4 linked regions of the Cricetulus griseus genome follow. The protein of the gene in region 2 interacts with the protein of the main gene of each other region in a biochemical or structural test. Links are inferred from orthologs where the notes say so. Each region holds a gene or a part of one and is shown on either strand. Other genes may lie near its edges.

Evidence for each region.
Region 1: the proteins of Erbb2 (region 2) and Supt6h form a complex in vitro, tested with the Homo sapiens proteins (2 studies listed by BioGRID and IntAct, with this or other methods). The link is inferred for Cricetulus griseus from reciprocal best matches to the Homo sapiens genes ERBB2 and SUPT6H.
Region 3: the proteins of Erbb2 (region 2) and Sh2d1b form a complex in vitro, tested with the Homo sapiens proteins (2 studies listed by BioGRID and IntAct, with this or other methods). The link is inferred for Cricetulus griseus from reciprocal best matches to the Homo sapiens genes ERBB2 and SH2D1B.
Region 4: of the proteins of Erbb2 (region 2) and Ptpn3, one has a biochemical effect on the other in vitro, tested with the Homo sapiens proteins (2 studies listed by IntAct, with this or other methods). The link is inferred for Cricetulus griseus from reciprocal best matches to the Homo sapiens genes ERBB2 and PTPN3.

What each region holds. Positions count from the first base shown.
Region 1 is NC_048600.1:91,616,664-91,621,717, reverse strand, and holds part of Supt6h (transcription elongation factor SPT6), read left to right. Parts: intron 1-168; coding exon 169-442; intron 443-1,173; coding exon 1,174-1,275; intron 1,276-2,092; coding exon 2,093-2,209; intron 2,210-2,940; coding exon 2,941-3,030; intron 3,031-3,199; coding exon 3,200-3,342; intron 3,343-4,785; coding exon 4,786-4,934; intron 4,935-5,054.
Region 2 is NC_048600.1:111,549,634-111,554,687, reverse strand, and holds part of Erbb2 (receptor tyrosine-protein kinase erbB-2), read right to left. Parts: intron 4,083-5,054; coding exon 4,009-4,082; intron 3,923-4,008; coding exon 3,832-3,922; intron 3,679-3,831; coding exon 3,479-3,678; intron 3,022-3,478; coding exon 2,889-3,021; intron 2,803-2,888; coding exon 2,712-2,802; intron 2,016-2,711; coding exon 1,855-2,015; intron 1-1,854. UniProt on the Homo sapiens protein: Protein tyrosine kinase that is part of several cell surface receptor complexes, but that apparently needs a coreceptor for ligand binding. Essential component of a neuregulin-receptor complex, although neuregulins do not interact with it alone.
Region 3 is NC_048598.1:22,544,449-22,549,502, reverse strand, and holds the end of Sh2d1b (SH2 domain-containing protein 1B), read left to right. Parts: intron 1-652; coding exon 653-815; intron 816-2,716; coding exon 2,717-2,754; 3' UTR 2,755-3,976; downstream 3,977-5,054. UniProt on the Homo sapiens protein: Cytoplasmic adapter regulating receptors of the signaling lymphocytic activation molecule (SLAM) family such as CD84, SLAMF1, LY9 and CD244. In SLAM signaling seems to cooperate with SH2D1A/SAP.
Region 4 is NC_048595.1:86,666,812-86,671,865, reverse strand, and holds part of Ptpn3 (tyrosine-protein phosphatase non-receptor type 3), read right to left. Parts: intron 3,073-5,054; exon of another isoform or gene 2,938-3,072; coding exon 2,777-2,937; intron 1-2,776.

The sequences.
Region 1 (5,054 bases), about 20 Mb from region 2:
TTGCCTTGAAACTTCCAGGCACCTATTTATTCCACACTGAATGTGATTTTCCAACTGGCTTTTCTCTTTGCTCCTTTAGTCCTCTGAGGCCTGCAAAAGATCTGGGCAGGGGCTGCATTTCTCCTCCCTCTCAATCCTGAGCCCACTGCCTCTTATTCTTTCACATAGAGCCCTGCAAGAAGCTCAGGAGATCTTTGGTGTGGACTTTGACTATGATGAATTTGAGAAATACAATGAATATGATGAAGAACTGGAGGAAGACTATGAGTATGAGGATGAAGAGGCTGAAGGTGAAATCCGAGTGCGCCCCAAGAAAACCACCAAGAAGCGTGTAAGCCGTAGGAGCATCTTTGAGATGTATGAGCCCAGTGAACTGGAGAGCAGCCACCTCACAGACCAGGACAATGAAATCCGAGCCACTGACTTGCCTGAGAGGTTCCAGGTAAGAAACCACAATGAGTAGTATTCGTCATAGACTCTGAAGCCCATCCAACTCAGGTCCATGGAGTCTGTTACCTATTTATTCTGGCAGTACTGGGAATTAAACTTGATCCTCTTTTTTTTTTTTTTTTTCTCGTTTTATTTTGAAACAGAGTCTCACTAACTTAGGCTGGCCTTCAACTGACTCTAGCCCAAGCAGGTCTTAAACCTCAGCCTCCTGAGTAGCTAGGATTACAGGTCTGACATTGAAATGGCATTCTTTTTTTCTTTTTCTTTTCTTTCTCTTTTTTTTTTTTTTTGCTTGTTTGTTTTGTTATTTTTATTGTTTTGTTTGTTTTGAGGCGGGCTCTCATGTAGGCCATAATAACTCAAACTTAGTAGCCAAGGATGACCTTAAATTAAATTTCTGATTCTCTTGCCCTTTTCTGGGGGGGCGGGGCACAGAGACAGGGTTTTTCTGTGTAGCCTTGACTGTCCTGTAACTCTATTGACTAGGCTGGCCTCGAACTCACAGAGATCCGCCTGCCTCTCCCTCCTGAGTGCTGGGATTAAAGGTGTGCATCACCACTGCCCAGCATGAAATGGTATTCTTAACAGATCTGGAAAATACTCATTTCATGTCAGGTGACCTTAGAATGTGCCTAAGGATCACATGCTTCTGTTAGAAGTCGTATAGGTTTTTCCCTAAGCAGGATACAGAGTAAAAATGTCTCACCCTCTTATCCACTCCAGCTCCGCTCCATCCCTGTCAAGGCAGCTGAAGATGATGAGCTAGAAGAAGAAGCTGACTGGATCTACAGAAATGCCTTTGCCACACCAACCATTTCCCTACAGGTACTCACAAGTCTTTACTTCAGAGGCTAGAAAGCTGGCTGGGTGGATAGAAGCACTTGCCCTTACAAAGAACCTGGATTTGGTTCCCAGCACCCACATAGTAGCTTACAACTGCCTTTACATGGAGTTCTATGGGTCCTATTCCCTCTTCTGACCTCTGAGGGCACCAGGCACTTACATGGTACATATATATACATGCAGGCAAAGCATTCATACTCATAAAATAAATGTTAAACGTTCTGACATGAACCAGAGGCCAGTTGATGAAAATGAGAACCTATTCCTTCCCTGTATAATGCTTCTGTATGCCTGGGAAAGTGTATGTGTATACATATATACAAGAAAAATTTTAAGCCTGGCATGGTGGCCCAAACCTTTAATCCCACCACTCAGGAGGCAGAGGCAGGCGGATATCTGAGTTAGAGACCAGCCTGGTCTACAAAGCTCAAGTTCCAGGACAGCCAAGGCTACACAGTAAAACCCTATCTTGAAAGACCAAAAGAGGGGCTAGAGAGATGGCTCAGTGGTTAAGAGCACTGACTGTTCTTCCAGAGGTCCTGAGTTCAATTCCCAGCAACCACATGGTGGCTCACAACCACCTTGAATGAGATCTGGTGCCCTCTGCTGGCATGCAGGCACAAGACTGTATACATAATAAATTTAAAAGAAAGAAAGACCAAAAGAAAGAAAGAGATGGAAAAAAAAATTTTTTTTTAGATTTCCTCAGAAAAGGCTATCACGTTATGAAGCTCTTGTGTGGTGAGAGAGAGGGTAGCATGACTTGCTGGTTTTGTTTTGTTTTTGCCTCTTAATATAGGAAAGCTGTGATTACCTAGACCGTGGACAGCCAACCAGTAGCTTCAGTCGCAAAGGACCCAGCACAATTCAGAAGATCAAAGAGGCCCTGGGCTTCATGCGGAATCAGCATTTTGAGGTAGCTCCTTGAGCTCAAGTAACCCAGTGGTTAGAAATTCATTAGAATTTAGGGGATGGGCTGGAAAGATGGCTCAGAGGTTAAGAGCATTAACTGCCCTTCCAGAGAGAGGTCCTGAGTTTAATTCCCAGAAACTACATGATGGCTCACAATGATCTTTAATGAGACCCAATGCCCTCTTCTGGCCTGCAGGAAAACATGCAGACATAATAAATAAATAAATATTTTTTTAAAAAAATTACAGGATGAGGCAAGAGGTAGCTACAATCAAGTGGTAAACCCCCTTCCTTATCCTTAGGAGTCTCTTAACTCAAGAGTGTTATGACTAAGCCAGGCACTGGTGGCGCACACCTTTAATCCCAGCACTCCGGAGGCAGAGGCAGGCAGATCTCTGAGTTCAAGGCCATCCTGGTCTACAGAGCAAGTACCAGGACAGCCTCCAAAGCCACAGAGGAACCCTGTCTCTAAAAACAAAAAACAAAAACAAAAAACCACACAAACAAACAGTGTTATGACTAGCAAGGGGCACTAGTGACCATGGGGACAAGATTTCCTGTCTTCAATGTTACCTACTCCACTGGAGAAAACACTTTCCTGGATAGCCATTTGGAGAGGCTATTCTTGTACTTATGATTTTGTGGAGCTATTAGACTAGGAAATCGTTACCCTTTAGCAGAGAAGATATTTGCAGCTCTTTCTTCTGCTTGACAGCAGTATTCTTGCTACTGTAGGTGCCTTTTATTGCCTTCTACCGAAAGGAATATGTGGAACCTGAATTGCACATCAATGACCTGTGGAGAGTGTGGCAGTGGGATGAAAAGGTAACATGGACAGAAGGCCCACAAGGAGCTAAGAACCAGTATCAGGATGCTACAGCTCTGACTTCCAGAACTGCCAGCTTACCCCATGGGGGCTTCTGCTAAAGGGAACAGAAGACTTGGGTCTCCAGGGCTTAACACCAGACCTCACTCCTGCCTTTCTCTGCCCTAGTGGACTCAGCTGAGAATCCGAAAAGAGAACCTAACAAGGCTGTTTGAGAAGATGCAGGCTTATCAGTATGAGCAAATCTCTGCTGACCCCGACAAACCTCTTGCTGATGGCATCCGGGCTTTGGATACTACTGATATGGAGAGGTAGGACATGCAGGTTTTATTCTGTTACAGGGAGCGGCCAGACTGAAGGCAGGTCCTCAGGAACACTGTTACTTTGCAGAATTTGCAGCATGGGGCCCCAACCCTTAGAACCCAAATTGTTAATACATCAAAAATGATTCCCCCCCCCCAGGGTCTCTGTGTAGCTCTGTCTGTCCTAGAATTCACTGTGTATACCAAGTTGGCATCGAACTCATACAGATACACCTGAAGGGGAAGCTGTAACCACGCCTACTTAGGGGCTGGCTACAGGTGTGCCTGACCACGCTTGAGAGGGAGTGGTCAGAGTGATGTAGTGTGACTGTGTTTGCTCTTTCGGTTTCTCTTTTGGGCTTGCATACAGACTGCTGCCACGCTGGCTGGCTAGGTCGCTCTGTAAGTAAGGCTTTTCCCTATTAAATACCCTTATATTTCTACCTGACTCCGTATTGGTAATTCCCACTATATATACCTGCCTCTGCCTCCCAAGTGGGACTGAAGGTCTATGCCACCATGCCCAACTAAAAGTGAATTTTCTGGCTGAACGGTGTTGGAAGGTAGAGCTTGGAAGATCATGAGTTGAAAGTCATCTATATAAAACTCCATGGGGAGCAGGGGAATAGTCTGACAGATTTGATTCATTTTAGTTTTCCATATAACTATATAGAAAACAAACTGACTTATTTACCAAGCCTTTGTATCAAGTATTCACATTTGGTAATAATATGCATTTATTCCATGTTGGTAATGCTACATAAGAGACAGTTTATATTTAATTTGGTAGCCTGAATAATGTGGTATTGGAGGGCAACAGGTGGTTTTGGTGGATAGTATTTACAAGCTGAGTAGTAGTTTCAAAGACTGAACTTCACTAAATGTGTTGCCTGGTCTGCCTCTTCCTTATACTGCTTTTTTTTTTGTTTTGTTTTGTTTTTTTGAGGTAACTGTGCAGCCCATACTGACCTGAGACTTGTAACCTAGTCTGTTTCTAGTGCTGAGATTATAGATGTGTGGTGCCACACCTGGCCTTTGTACTTTCATTTCTAATAATTACCACTAACCATTTCAATTTGACATGTTTTGTGTATGTGTGTATATATTTTTACAAGATTTCATACGGTACAGTCTGGCCTCAAAGTCCTAATATTTCCACCTCTCAAGTTCTAGGACACCACTCCCAGCTTACTTGTTTGTTTTTGAAATAGGCTATTGTTGAATGTCCCAGGCTGATGTTGGGCTTTTGGCAGGCCTCTTGCTTGAGTCTCTAACTATTACAACCGTGCACTGCCACTCCCAACAACTTATATTTCTTTAAAATATCCTGGCTGTGTAGTCTGGGACTGCTGTGTGGCTTTGCTCATCTTACTTGATCTTGCTTCTTGGGAATTAGAAGTATTACAGCAAAGCTTGTCCCCAGTAATAGAATCTTGCATCTTTCCCCTGCAGGCTCAAAGATGTACAGTCAATGGATGAACTGAAAGATGTTTACAACCATTTCTTACTTTACTATGGTCGTGACATCCCCAAGATGCAGAATGCTGCCAAGGCTAGCCGTAAGAAGCTGAAACGTATAAAGGAGGATGGAGATGAAGAAGGTAAGTGTTAAGAGAGAAAACTCCAATCTTGATGTGTGGATTGGGTGCCCTCTGGGGCTGCTTGACATCTCAGGTCCTTGGAATGGATTAGATACAAGAGCTGTTTGCCCTTAAATTTGT
Region 2 (5,054 bases):
CCTGACTTCCATGGCTGATGGACTGTGATGTGGAAGTGGGAGTTAAATAAACCTTTTTCTGCCTAAGTTACTTTAGATCATGGGGTTTATCACAGCAATAGAAACCCTAACTAAAACATACCCCATACACATAAAATAACAAAGTCTTAAAGAAGAAGGAAGGAAGGAAGGAGGGAAGGGAGGAAGGGAGGAAGGAGGGAGGGAAGGAAGGAGGGAGGGAAGGAAGGAAGGAAGGAAGGAAGGAAGGAAGGAAGGAAGGAAGGAAGGAAGGGTGGTTCACATGTTGTTTGGCAAGATGGCTCAGCAGGTAAGGGCATTTGCAATCAACCCTGATGATTGTGTTCAATCCCTGGGACCCACATGGTAAAAGGAGAGAACCAACTCCGGGAGGTTGTCCTCTGACCTCCAAATACCTGTCATGCACACACATGCCTGCTCAGCATGCACACACATACACAAATAAATGTAATTAGAATAATTTTTATAATAACACATTAAAATGTTAAATTGCCATGTGAGGTATAAAAGAATGCTGCTAGCAATTCTTTTCTTTTTCTTTTTTTTTCTTTTTCTTTCTTTTTTTTTTTTTTTTTTTTTTTTTTTTTTGGTTTTTTTGATACAGGGTTCTCTGTATTGTTTGGAGCCTATCCTGGCACTCGCTCTGTAGACCAGGCCAGCCTCGAACTCACAGAGATCCTCCTGCCTCTGCCTCCTGAGTGCTGGGATTAAGTGTGCGCCACCAATGCCCGGCGCTGCTGGAAATTCTACTGTGGATAATTTGAACTGTTTTCCCTGGTGATTTAACTGAAACCATCAGATTTTTGAGCAAGTGCCTCTCTGCCCACTGAGCCATCCTCTAATGTGTTGTTTTTCATTTTTTATGTCTGTATGTGTCTGAGTATATGTGTGTACCTGCAGAGGCCAGAAAAAAAGCCTTAGAGCTCCTGAGGCTAGAGTTCACAGAAAGCATGAGTCTCCTGATGGACCAAATTCCAGTCCTCTGAAAAAGCAGCAAGCACTCTTAACCCCTGAACCACCTCTCCAGCCCCTAATGTGTTTTTTTAAAAGATTTTATTTATTTATTTATTTATTTATTTATTTATTTATTACGTATACAACATTCTGCTTCCATGTATATTCCAGAAGAGGGCACCAAATCTCATAACGGATGGTTGTGAGCCACCATGTGGTTGCTGGGAATTGAACTCAGGACCTCTGGAAGAGCAGCCAGTGCTCTTAACCATTGAGCCTCTCTCCAGCCCAATGTGTTATTTTTTAATTTTATTTACATGTATGAGCCTGTGTGGTGTGTATGGTATGTGTGTGTGTGTGGGTTTGTGTGTGGGGAAGTGTGTGTATGGTGGAGAGGGGCAATGGGTACCCTCGGAGACTGGAAAATAGGACCAGATCTCCTGACGCTAGTTAACAGGCAACCTGAGTCTCCTGATATGTGTGCTAGGAACCAAGTTCCAACCCTCTGGAAGCACAGCAAGTTCTCTAAACCACTGAACCACCTCTCTAGCGCCTGTGTTATTTTTATAATTAGAAAAGAAATATAAAAATTACCACTCAGCCCAGCAGTGGTGATGCATCTTTAATCCCAGCACTCAGGAGGCAGAGGCAGGTAGATCTCTGTGAGTTCAAGGCCAGCCTGGCCTACAAAGCAAGTTCCAGGACAGCGAGAACTGTTAACACAAAGAAACCCAGTCTTGGAAAAACAAAACAAAAAAACAAACAAAAAATTATATCTCAATATGAATGAAGGTGGATTTATCCCCCTTTCACAGTAAGAGCTCCAGGGAGGCTACTATCATGAAAGCCTTCCTTTCTACAGAAAAAAACCCTTCCACTCACGAGTGGGTGCAGTTGATGGGACACGGCTGGCATATGCCCTCCGCATCCGGGTACTTCCAGATGGGCATGTAGGAGAGGTCTGGCTTCACACCACTGGGGCAGCGAGCCACACAGGAGGAGGAGTCCTTGTAGTGGGCGCAAGCGGTACACTGGTCAGCCTCCTGGATAGAGAGGAAGGGTTTGTGGGGTTGGGATCACCATCCCTACAGCAGAAGGACCAGGCCCTGTGTCCCTGACCTTGCAGCAACACTGCCTCCCTGTCACTGGGGTAAACATCCCTGCTCTTTACAAGGAAATGGAGGCACCCAGAGAGGGACGTGCGTTCTCTAAGGTGTGACAAGTGACAACTATTATGTACAAAGTTTTTTCCGTGCTTGGGCACCGTGCCAAATCCTATTTAATTTCATTCTCACCACACCCCAACCAGGTAGGAACTATTACAACATTCTCCTTATAGAAGTGAAAACTGAGGGTGGAAACAGGGCCTGGATGTGGTCCCTAGCACAGCTAGAACCAAGGACACAGGCCTTCTTGGGACTGTCTGAAGGGCTCCAGTGTCACCAGCGTGAAGGGAGAGCCCATGGTCCACAGTACAATGAGGGCAGAGCAGTGCCCCCATTCCAGCCTTCCTGACCTTCTCCCCTCCTGCTGTCCAGGTCTGAGCTGAGCCTTCTCTAGGAACATTTTACCCTGCAGCAACTTAACAGACCCCCGGTACCCTTTTGCTTGCCGGTGTCGTCCTGTCCCCGTGTGTGTGTGTGTGTGTGTGTGTGTGTGTGTGTGTGTCTGTCTGTCTGTCTGTCTGTCTGTCTGTCCGTGTCCCATCTCCCCCCCCCTCGAGGCCACCAGCACCTCACCGATCCAATGCAGGTCTCTGTGTTGTTTTGAGGCTGACACTCGGGGTGGCATGGCAGACAATGCTTGCCATCCACATACTCCCTAGGGAGCCTGTAAGAGAGGCAGGTATAGTAAGGGGTCTGGGAGGTCCCCATGTGTGTACCCCTCAAGCCACCCCACTCCTCTGCTACTCATACCCCTTCGATACTCGGCACTCCTTCACACACTCCTGGCCCCGAAGGAAGTGACTGCAGTTGACACACTGGGTGGGTCCTGGCCCCCAGCAGTGCCCATGGGCACACAATGGGTAGCAGGCCAAGTCCTTGCGATCTGCAATGAGGAGAAAAGCAGGAGAGGTATTAGGAGAGGCTCACTCAGGTCTAAGCAAAAAGGCTGTGAATGAGCATGGCTCTGGCTAAAGGGGTTGATGCCAGGACATTCAGGGTGAGGAAGAATTCTGTGGTTCAACAACAAGGAAGGGATGGATGTTTGGGCAGCATGGAAGGACACAGCTGGAAGCCATGTCACAATGCCAAACCATCACTGGGAAGTGAAGAATGGCTCCAGTGGGCATGCCTTTAATCCCAGCACTCGGGAGGCAGAAGCAGGCAGAGCCCTGTGAGTTTGAGGCCAGCCTGGTATCCAGAGTGAGCTCCAGGACAGCCAGGGCTGCATAGTGAGATCCTATCGCAAAACAACAACAAAGCAGGGCTAAAAAGGTTTGCACAGGCCAGAGGCTATTGACACTTCTGTGTACTGGCCCACAGGGCTGGCCTTCCTGTCTTACCACATTCCTCCTCTGGCTGGTTCCCACTGTGGAGCAAAGCCTGGTGCGGGTTCCGGAAGAGCTGGTCCCAAGGTACAGTATGTACAAAGCAGAGACGGGTGTTGCGGTGAATGAGTACCAGTCCGCTGCCCAGCTCCCGCAGTGAACGCAGCCCCAACCAGTGGATTCCCAGGCCTTGCAGCGTCAATGAGTAGGCGCCACTATGGAAATAAAGTTTCCAGTTGCAAGGAGGTACCTACTCTAGGTCCATTTCCAGCCAACAGGTACCTCCCCCTGCCTCAAAACACTCTGTCAACTCATGTTAAAAGCTACTGTGGTGTCATGCCTCCTAGGCTCCCTCTCCACACACTTACTCATGGAGAATTCGTCCCCGAATGACTCGAAGGTTCTGGAAGACGCTAAGGTCATGGAGGCTGTCTGGCCATGCTGAAATGTATAGATAACCTGCGGGCAGAGGAGGGGGCCGGGTATGCAGAAAGGTCCAGAACTCCTGGCCCCCATGGAGCAGGACACAGAAAGACAGGGCCCACCTGTGATCTCCTCCAGGGTTTCAAACACTTGGAGCTGCTCAGGCTTCAGGGGAGCAACGCCGGAGGCAGGGTTCCTAGAAGGATCAGGAGGAATGAGTAGGGCAGGAAGATGGAGAGCAGGAGGCCCAGAAGGCCTTGACACACCACTCTCCATCCACACCAAGTCCTTTACTTAAAGCCCAATCAAGCCTGGCTGCTCCCATCCCAAGAGTCAAAGCCTAGGGTCCAAGTCCAGCAGAGCAACATTTGTGTCCTTTGATCTAGAAGTCTCATTTGCAGAAGTCTGGCCGGCAGAGACACTGGCTTCAGCTGCCAGAGGCATAAACAAGCTGAACTGTTTGTATGAGAGAAATTTGAAAATTACCCAGGTAGTCATTAGTGAATAAGATTGCTGCTACGTAAAACCCTGCTCTCTGCAGGCTCTGAAATACAAACACCGAGAGTGCTCAGTATCTGTCAAGCCCTGTTCTAAGAGTGTCCCAAATATTAACTCTTTCAGACTTTAGCACCACCTTGAGGGTAGAGCTACTGGTCTGCATTTTACATGAGGGCACTGAGGCATAACCAGGAGAAGGCAATGAAACTGGTCAGTGAGATTCTGCCATACATCTGTGAGTTCAATTCCCAAAACTCACATAAAAAAGCCCATGTGAGTCTGCAACCCCAACACTGAGGAGTTAAAGACAATTCCTGGGGTGCCCTGGCCAGTTGACCTAGCCTGTTCTGGTGAACTCCAGGTCAGTGAGGGGCCCTATTTTGAAAAATAAGGTAGATGGTTCCTAAAGAGCCACACCTGAGGCTGCCCTTCACACACACAGAGAGACATATACAGACACAGAGACACATACACACAGACACATACAGACACCCACAGACACACACATACAGACACACACAGACACAAACATACAGGGACACACACAGAGACACATACAGACACACACAGATAGACAGACATAGACACATGGGGGTGGAAAGTAGGTTTCAAACCCAAGTCCATATTTGTTGCTTGTCTTTGCTGCCTCCTGATCTATAACTATTATAAG
Region 3 (5,054 bases), on a different chromosome or scaffold from region 2:
CCTAACCATACCTGTTGGCGATGCTAGGGCCATAGGATCACCACAGCGATGACCAAGAAAACCACATACAAAGGAGCAGAGGAAGAAAACGCTTTGTGTTTTTGAATTCCTTCTGTAAGCACCTATCAGAAAAGAGGATTTTTTTTTTCTTTCTAGTTGCTAACCGGAAAACAAGTCTGTGATTTCACTAAGTCATGTTGTCATCCTACTCTCAGTACAAACTGGGGCTTGTTTCTTCTATCTGCACCCTGTGGAGAGTCCGAGTAGGCACCTTATATGTCAATTATTTTGCATTTTCTCTCAGGAGTCCCCAATTGACCAAAGGCCAGCAGCATGACACAGTCTGACAGGGAACTAACTACAGTGAAGCTACAATAAGAGCCAGTCCAGACAAATTGCCAAGGATGGGGCTCACTCAGCACAGTGACTGGGGAACTTTTAAGTAAAAGCCCCCTTTATACAGAGTTGTTTGGGCACAAGGTTCCTCTTCAGAATGAGGAACCTCTATGAAATGCTGTTGGTAAGAGCCCTAGGCCTGAGCTGCTAGCGTCTTACTTTTCGCTTGTCTCTCGGGCAGCCCTCAAAACCACTGTTGCAAGAAGTGTCACATTTTAACCACAGCTGCGCAGTGACCTTTCTTATGTCTTTGCAGACTGTGGAAGGTGCTCCAAAACAGATCTTTCCGAACCTAGAAGAATTAGTCTCCAAGTATGAAAAGCCAGGTCAAGGTCTGGTGATTCACCTTTCAAACCCAATGATGAGAAGCGGCTTCTGCCCAAGAGGGAGAAGGATGAAGTTAGAGATGAATGTTTATGGTAAGAGCCCTGACAAAGGGTCAGGAGGGACCCCGAAGCCTGCGTCCAGCTCTACTCTGTAGAGTTGATGGAAATTGCTGACTTGGTCTAGGACATTAAAGAGCTTCATCTTGCTAAGTGCAATTTCTACTGTACTGAGAAACAATATCTCCTAGCCCCTGCAAGTGGCCAAGACATAGAGTTGTCTGTGCTAGGACAACCAGGAAGGCAAGGAAAGGTCCTGACCAAAAAGCTGACTTGGGTTTCATTCTGTGGGCATGCGCAGTCCACCATGGTAATAAATGCACATGTGGGCAGGTTTTCACTGAAAAGACTCATGTCAAATCACCCACCAAGGCTTATCCTATTACATTTTGTTCAATCTTTGCTAAGCATTCATTTATAAAATGATCAGGGACAAATTATTTCATATATATATATATCCCTAAAGGTATGAAGCCACCGAGACACGGCGGGGTGGGGTGGGGGTGGGGGTCAGCACGTGTGAGGAAAGTCTGTTCACAGCACTCTCAGATCATATTTCGAGCTTACCCTCATCTTCATCATCTGCCCATTGCGGCAAATTTTGAATTAAACACAGACATGCAGAGACGTTTCTGGTCCCACCCAATCGCTCATGATGAAATGTGTGGTTTCATTTTGTGTGAGAGGGATTGCAGTTGTCTGTGGGTGGCAATGGTGATGACAGCAGATCTACTAACTAGGGAGAAAGATGAGAGGGCACGAGCTCTCAGGGAGCCTGCCAGCATCCATGCTATTCTGCCTGAGCAAAGTCCCTTTTTTCGGCTGCCGTGGTAAGCTTCTCATTTCTCTAAAAAGATAAAGCGTGAGATTTTAATGACTAAAATAAAACCTTGCCCCCCTAACATTACTTCCAGCCATTCATCATCATTCAGGGGATTGTGTGGACAATACAATCTGATAATTTCGTTTAAGTCCAGCCACAGATATAGCCGCACTGCTCTTTTCCATCAAAACTTACAGAATTAGGAAGTCTGAAAGGGCTGGAGAAATAGCCCGGTTGGTAAAGTGCTTGCCTTGCTTGTGTGAGGCCCTAAGTTGGATCCCTAGAAATGATGGCTTTGAAAATCTGTACAACGTGGCACATGCTTGTAATCTCAGTGCTGAAGAAACAGACACAGGTAGATCCATGGGGCTTCCTGACCATCACACCTGGTGAGCTCCAAGCCAGAGGAAGACCTTGTTTCAAAAAATAGAGTAGATGGAGCCTGAAGAACAACATGTCAGGCTAACCTCTGACCACACACAGGCACCCTTGTGTAGATACACCTGCATACATACCTATATACATGCATGCACACACACACACCCAAAGGTATTAAGGGGAAGAAAGCATAAAGGTGTCAAAGCCAGACACTTGTGCAAATCAAGATGAGTTGCTGGGAGTGGCTGGGATGGTAATACTTTTGTCTGAGGTATAATGAAAGGCTACTAAATCCCTGGAAGAGAATGGGCTTGGGAGAGGTCTTTCCCAAGAACTGGACATGGGTCTGGCCACACCAATTTTCCAAGCATAGTCAGACTTGGTAGAGTGTGCTCCACGTACTTAGCTACCAAAGGGGAAATGCCTTCCCTTCCTCTTGCCTCCTCAGAACCAGCTCCATGCAGAGCTACTCTGACGAAGGCATGGGATTTTCACTGGTGAAGGTAGACACTGAGTACTAGAAACTAAGGATCCACTTATCAAAAAGCAAAAACAAACAAAAAACAAACAAACCCTATTTGTCCAAGCAAGTCCCTAGTGCCACTGCAGCCTTTGAAGATGTCTCTTTGATGTGGCATCAGCACTGCTTTGTGCCTGGTGTCCTTTTCCTCGAGTTGGGATGGCTGGTGGGACTTCTGGGTGTGGCATCTCATGGCTGTCCTTTGCTTTTCCCCAGAGAACACTAACGAGGACTATGTGGATATCTTGCCTTGAAGACAAGGACATAGGACAAAACAAGCTAAGGGAGGGCTGAGATGGCAGAGCTCTCAGCGGCCACCACCTCTGCAAGTGTCTATCTAAAATGCCAACTTCTAGAGGGCCTCTGAGACCCTCCTGACCTGGGTAGCAGGATCTTCTCAACTGAAGCCTTGGAGAAGTCCCTTCCCACATGTCTGACTCCTGGCACACTCACAAGAAGCTCCAAAGCCACCGTCACCTGTTACTCTCCTATCTTGGAATTGGACAGCCGGAATCCAGGCATTGCCATTGCATCCTGGCTGACAACATCTAACAGGACAAAGGGAAGGGCAGCTTCATAGAAAGGAAACAATACTCTGTAGTAACTTCAGAGTCCCCAACCTGTGTTCTGTGACTTTTGGCAAACCGCCCTCTCTGGTGTGGTTGAGTGGTTCACACACACTAACCTGGACCCTCTGTTGAGCCTGGTTGTCCCAGGTGGAGCTGGCGTCTGAGCAGAGGAATCAAGGTCTAAGGATGCTGAAGAAGCAAACATGTCCTCCAGCTGTGGAGGTCTTGGTCCTGATGAGGGCTGTGACCCACCAATGTTCCCTTTCCCTCTCGTTTGACCTAGCCCCATCTCTTCAAAGGTTGACTTCCTGCCAGGCATTCCTCTGGCCTCGGTTTTTCCTGATTTTCCCCAAGTCTGTATATACAGCAATCACTTTGTCAGCTCTGCCTTTTGATAAATGTGATAATAATATTTATTTTATTATTATTTTTTATTAGCATACAGAGAAATGGGTTTTATTCTGACCTTTTTATATCTATAAATCATTACACTTTGGGGGTCTTTTTTTTTGTTTTTGTTTCTTTTTTTTTTTTTGAGACAGAATCTGAGTCTAGCCCAAGTTAACCTCAAACTCTAACTTTATGCCTCAGCCTCCTATGTGCTGGGGTTACAGGTGCATGCGATCTCTGTGACCAATATGCTCTTCTTTCTTGACCTTCCCCTGTACTGCCCCATCCTTTGCACCTTGCCGTGACACTCCTATCCCCAAAGAGACCGCCTTCTGCCTATATTTCATTGCCTTCCTTCCACTTTAGACCTCTTGCTCCTGTCTCATAGTCCGGGTTTCTGAATTTTCATGTCCTCCATACATATGTATTTATACATATAAATTTAAATCTGGATCTTACATATGAGAAAAATGTGGTTTGTCCTTCTGAATCTAATAAACTTCACGCAACAAAATGATCTTCGGGTCTGTCCATGTTTTCTTGTGTGAGAATGCTGGAAGTTCATTGTTCTAATTCCATTGCGCATGTGTACCAATGTGTGGCTGTTTTAAAGATGTTCTCGCATGGGTGGTTCCATTCCTGCCTGTGTTCTAAATGCCATCAGAGCATGCCCTCCCTGCACATAGGAGTTATGGACTGCAAGCATTTTTCTGAAGGGTTGGATGAGCTGACTTTAAGGCCTCTTGAGTTTTTCTGCTAGTTCAAAAGGTTAAACTAAAGCTGGACATGTATCTCAATGGTAAAGCACTTGCTTAGCATGTACAAGGCCTTGGTTCAATCACCAGCATATAGAAAAGAAAAAGGGAGGGAGGGAGAGAGGGAGGCAGAGATGAAGGAGGCTAATTAAGGCCTGGTTAGAAGCCAAGTGTGACAATATACATCTGAAACCCTAACCACTTGGGGGATTGAGAATTTGAGGTCAGCCTGGGCTGCACAGTGAATGAAAACGATGACGTGGTTGCTCCAAGGTAATGGTTAAGGAGAAAGTTTTATTGTAGATATGAGGGAGAGAACAGCCAGAGTCATCTGGAAGGGTCCAGGCTGAACTGGGCCAGCAGACTGAATGGACCATGGAGGAGTAAGGAGCAAAAGGGGAAGAGAATAGAGAGAAACAGAGAACATGAGAACTAAGAGACTAGGGAGGAGCCAGGAACCGAGAGAGCCGTAGCCACACGGTTGAGTTTACACAGGAAAGAGAAGCTGGGAGAGAAGGAGCCCCGGAAGTGTTGGGAGGCACCACAACTACTGAAGGAAACATTCCCCCTGGTTTCTTTGGGACCTGACACACAGTAAGATCCCTTCTCAAAAATAGTAAAGAAGCATCCCAGTTAGTGCAGAGTGGACACGTTCTGTGACTTTTATTTTCAAACTGTAGTGCCTTTTATTTTGAAGAGAGGAACTCCAGACTTCCATATAACATAACTGATTTTGTCACTAGAGTCCCCAAATGTGCATAACTGTGAATTGGATCCAGGAATCCCTTCACTACTATCAAGCAGAGAGGCAGCAAAACTTCAGCCATGTTCAGAGAGCTG
Region 4 (5,054 bases), on a different chromosome or scaffold from region 2:
GCTCTAGCTGTCCTGGAACTCGCTTTGTAGACTAGGCTGGCCTCATACTCACAGAGACCCGCCTGCCTTTGCCTCTTGAGGGCTGGATTAAAGGCACGCACCACCACTGCCCAGCTGTGGGTATTCTTAAGGCCTCTTCCGGAGGACGAGGAGAGGCAGTGGTGGGCAATGGGCCTAATACCATTTCTATCTGCTTCTCTGGGATCAATTGAAACATCAAAACCTCAAGTGAGCGCAGGAGAGGTGCCTGATGCGAAAGTCTGGCAACGTGAGTTCAATCTCCAAAACCCACACATAAGAAAATAAATGAACCAGGTGGTGGTGGCACAGGCCTTTAATCCCAGCACTTGGGAGGCAGAGGCAGGTGGATCTCTGAGTTCCAGGTCAGCCTGATCTACAGAGCAAGTTCCAGAACAGCCAGAGCCACAGAGAGAAATCCTGTCTTAAAAAAGCAAAACAAAACAAAAAAGAAAATAAGTGATTTCACATGGCTGTCCTGTGACCTCCACATGCACACTGTGGCACAAGCCCACTTCCATATCATGCGCTAATAATAACAAATTAGTGTCCCCCACCACACACACACACACACAAACTCTCAGCGACTTTGTTAAAACACCAATGTCTGGCCAGGCAATTGTAGCACACGCCTTTAATCCCAGCACTTGGGAGGCAGAGGCAGGTGGACCTCTGTGAGTTCATGGCCAGCCTGGTCTACACAGTGAGTTCCAGGACAGACAGGTTCCAAAGCTACACAGAGAAACCTTGTTTCAAAAAAACAAAAACAAAATCAAACCAAACCAAAAGGAAACAAAATGCACCAATGTCTGGTAGTTGTGGGCTAGGTTCACGGCTCCTCATGTGATTTCTATACAAGGGGCTACAGGCTCACCCTTTAAGAAATATTTTCAAAGGTGGCTCCGTGGCGCAAAGGATAGGGCTCTGGACTTCTAGCGACGAAAAAGAAATACTCTTAAAAACCTTCTAGGAGCTGATGAAATCATTGCAAGGAGAACCTTATGGGGGCTTCCTAGACGTCAAAAGCACACCAAAGTTGAGCCAAGAGCACAGAGAAGGCTTTAGTTAATCAAAGAGCTTGGCTTCAAGTTCCCAAGGAGAGTCCACAGTGCCTCCTTGTGGATTTCCTGATCAACTAGAATTACCAGTTGCCAGGGAACATACACTCACAATTTTAAAATCTTATCCTGTCTTGCTTGCTCTCATGATACAGCCCCCGAAATATACTAAAATTAGACAGCAAGCTCCTTATGGCTAGACGCCTCCTTCTCCATCCCTCACCATGCTCCCAGAGTACCTCAGACATACTAGCTGAATCAACAAATAGTCCACCAATGCCCTCCTAGTTCACAGCATCCTCAGCACCAAAAGGAAGAAACTCATGGAATCTGAGCCTAGATTTGCATCCTTGCTTTAATTACTCTAGAGTGTTCATGTCACAATTTCTCACCCAAATATCACCACCACAAGATGCAAACTTTTATGTTACTTGTCTAGACAACCGGCTAATTAAAAAAACTGAGAATCTTCTAGTGGTGGGGGGGTGGAAGGGAAGAGTCAACTACCTTTGCTTTTTCTCCCATGGAGTTCTTTCTACTGCTGTTCAACTCACACTGCTCTCAAATAATTTACATTCTGGGCCCTAGGCTACTGTAGGGTAAGTCTTTTGCTTAAGGCTTTCTGCTTGGCATTCCCTTTTGTCTGCCAGCTGTGCTACACTTTCTTCCTGAGTCACTCTGCAGTCAATATATTTGACAAATTGCCCACCTTTCCTAGTGTTTTTCCTTCCAGGGTTTTTCTAGTAAATTATGTGCTGTTGATCTGTTTCTGAATCTCACTGGCGCCTCTTATCCCTACTTTGTGAGCTGAGGCCATGTTCAGCATTGTTAACTGTGTAAAAATGTTAAGTAGATTCTTTTGCCTTCTTTCTTCTCTTCTCCCTACCCCAACCGCCTTTCTGAGACAGGGTCTTACTATGTGGTCCAGGCTAGGCTCAAACTTGAGATCATCCTGCCTCAGCCTCCAGCACGCTGAGGTACTATGCATGAGGCACCTGTTCATTTCGTAAACAACTGCTCTCTTCTACCTTCAAACACACATGGCAGATGAACACATTCTGTTTTCATTCGATTACTAGTGGATAAAACTGGTTTGGAAGCAGTTGTGCTTTTGGGGTTGTGTGAAAGGCCTCTGCGGGCACTGCTGCAGATGAGGCATGACCCTGCGTACTCCAGAGCCATCCTTCCTGAGAAGACAGCACAGACTCTATGTTTCTGTGGTCTGGTGGCCTTGGAAGATGAGACACTGTGCCCTCGTGGTGTGATACCAACTCTCTAAACCCCAAGTGTAGTTGGGGGTAGAGTGCTAACCTGCCACCATCATGTGGATGGCACCATTTTCTGTGCTGTGGAGTTTTAAGCTCCTGCTGGCAGCTCCATAGGTTCAGAGCCCCCTCATCCTCAGTTACTGACAGGCCAGCCCTGCCTACAGATTGCTGCTAGAAGTCAGTGGGAGGGCTGAACAGCTGGAAGAGGTCCTGGGCCTTCACCTGATGCTTCATCACTCTGAGCCTGAGAAGAGGCCCCCATCAGACCTGGGTCGTATGTCCTCACTGAGACTCTCTAGTCTGAGGCCTGTGAACCAGAGTCATCTTGGCCAAGGAGACAGGACCATGCTCCAGCTTGCTACTAAGCTGCAGCAGAGGCACATGGTGAGTGGCAGTAACTGGGTGGAGATTCAGGCCCTGGGATCCCCTTACCTCGAACTGGATCAGCACTGTACCACTTTCTAGACCTTTCTTTAGCAGTTCCATGGATCCCTCCAGACTGTCACCACCCTCAGGACAGACAGGAAACATGGCTTCTGGGAAAAGCTGACTCAACTCATCTTCCGATCTGATCTCCGCCAGTGAGCGCACAGCTGGAACAGACATAACAGACAGGACAATGGGCTGGTCACTCTGCTTATCGGCCCAGAACACCAGGGATGGTGGTCCACTGGCCTCATCAAATGATCAAGTGCGTGGGCATCATTTGTACCCAATACCATTTCTAGGTGAGTGACCCTGACAAGCTGTGGGCCATACTCTAGGTGTGAAAATGAACATTGTTGAAGAAAGAGGTCATGGGCTGTGAACACAGTTTAGTGGTAGAGAGGTCACCTAGCATGCGTGAGGCTCTAAGTTCAGTTCCCAGAGAAGGGAAGGCAAGGGAAGGGAGGTGTGGGGAGGGGAGGGAAGGGAAGAGAAAGGAAAGGAAAGGAAAGGAAAGGAAAGGAAAGGGAAGGGAAGGGAAGGAAAGGAAAGGAAAGGAAAGGAAAGGAAAGGAAAGGAAAAGAAAAAGGGGAGGAAGGAAGGAAGGTAGGAAGGAAGGAAGGACTCTTTGGTTCCCACCCAACATCCTTAACATGGGCACTCTTCTAGACACATGTGGAGGCCCCAAGCTCTCCCTGTGACATTACTATTTCCTATAGTCTGGTTTCTTTTTACAAAAATTTTAAATTACATTTCTGTTTATCATTTTGTGTGCATGTGTGTGAGTACATGTGTATGAGCATGTGTGTATACGTATGAGAACATGTGTGTGGGGGGATGAATGTGTATGAATGCATGCATGTGTGTGAATGTGTGTGTGTGAGTGTTTGAGTGCATGTGTGTATGTGTGTGAGTGCACGTGTGTGGGGATGCATGTGAGTACATGTGTGCATGTGTGTGTATTTGAGTGCATGTGTAAGTGCATGTGTGTATGTGTGTGAGTGTTTGAGTGCATGTGTGTATGTGTGTGAGTGCACGTGTGTGTGGATGCATGTGTGTGAATATGTGTGAGAGTGTATGTGTAAATGCATGTGTGTATGTGTGTGTGTGTTTGAGTGCATGTGTGTATGTGTGTGAGTGCACGTGTGTGGGGATGCATGTGTGTGAGTGTCTGTGTGCATGTGTGTGAGAGCATGTGTGGACATCAGGGATAACTCTTAGAGTCAGTTCTCTCCTACCATGTGAGTGGGTTTTAGGCCTCGGACCTAGGTCAGCAGGCTTGGCAGTGGGTGCCTCTACCCACTGAGCTGTATCTCACTGTCCCATGGTGTTGTTCCTTTCCCTTAAGAGCCTACTTTCAATTTGAGATCAATTTTGCCAAGTGATAAGTACTAGTGCCAAGATCTCTGCATGTCAGCTCCACCTTTTCAAGTTCAATTTCTCCCTTCATGCCAGACTCTATGGAGAAAAATACAGGCCCAAGCTCCCATCCTCTGTGTGTGTGTGTGTGTGTGTGTGTGGTGTTTGGGGAGGCTAAGGCTGACATTACATGTCTTCCTCTATCACTCTCCACCTTAGACAGGGCCTGTCACTTGGCCCTAGAACTCAATGACTGGGTAGTCAAGCTAGCTGCATATTCTGGGGGGTCCCTCCTGTGCCTCCCATTTGCTGGGATAATGTACCTCATTTTTTATACGGGTGCTAGAGATTTGAATTCCAGTTCTCACTCTGTCTGCTGAGCCATGTCTCCTCCTCACTCTGCCTTATGGAATATTTTACCTCAGACGCAATCGTCAACTCCTTACTTCCTCTTCCTAAATTTGAAACTTTAGGATCATTTCTGAATTTTCCCTTTAACTCAGAAAGGGAAATTACGCCCTCACTGAGCTTTCAATGGCTCCTGACTTTCAAGACAAGAGGAAAGGAGAAAGTAACTAAACAACTTTGAATTTTCTCATATAGTTGAACTGAGCCTTCAGAATTCTGAGTCAGCTTTGAGCTTTCCATTCCAGAGAGTTTGTTCAAGGTCACCCAGCCTGTCAGGGCAGGTCATGGGAAAGCCGTCCATATCTTCACCTGACTTTAAAGGCCACATTCACTGACCACAGCAAAGCAATTTTTCTTATGATATGTGGTTTCTGTCATAATTGCAACCCTCTGTGTTACATTCGCTGACTTCCTTTCCTTTAAATCAATTCAAATTTCTCATTTACAGATTTATGCTACAAATAAGATTACTATAGGTCTTGAAAATAGGTGGTCTCCAACAGTGCTAGGTTTTCCT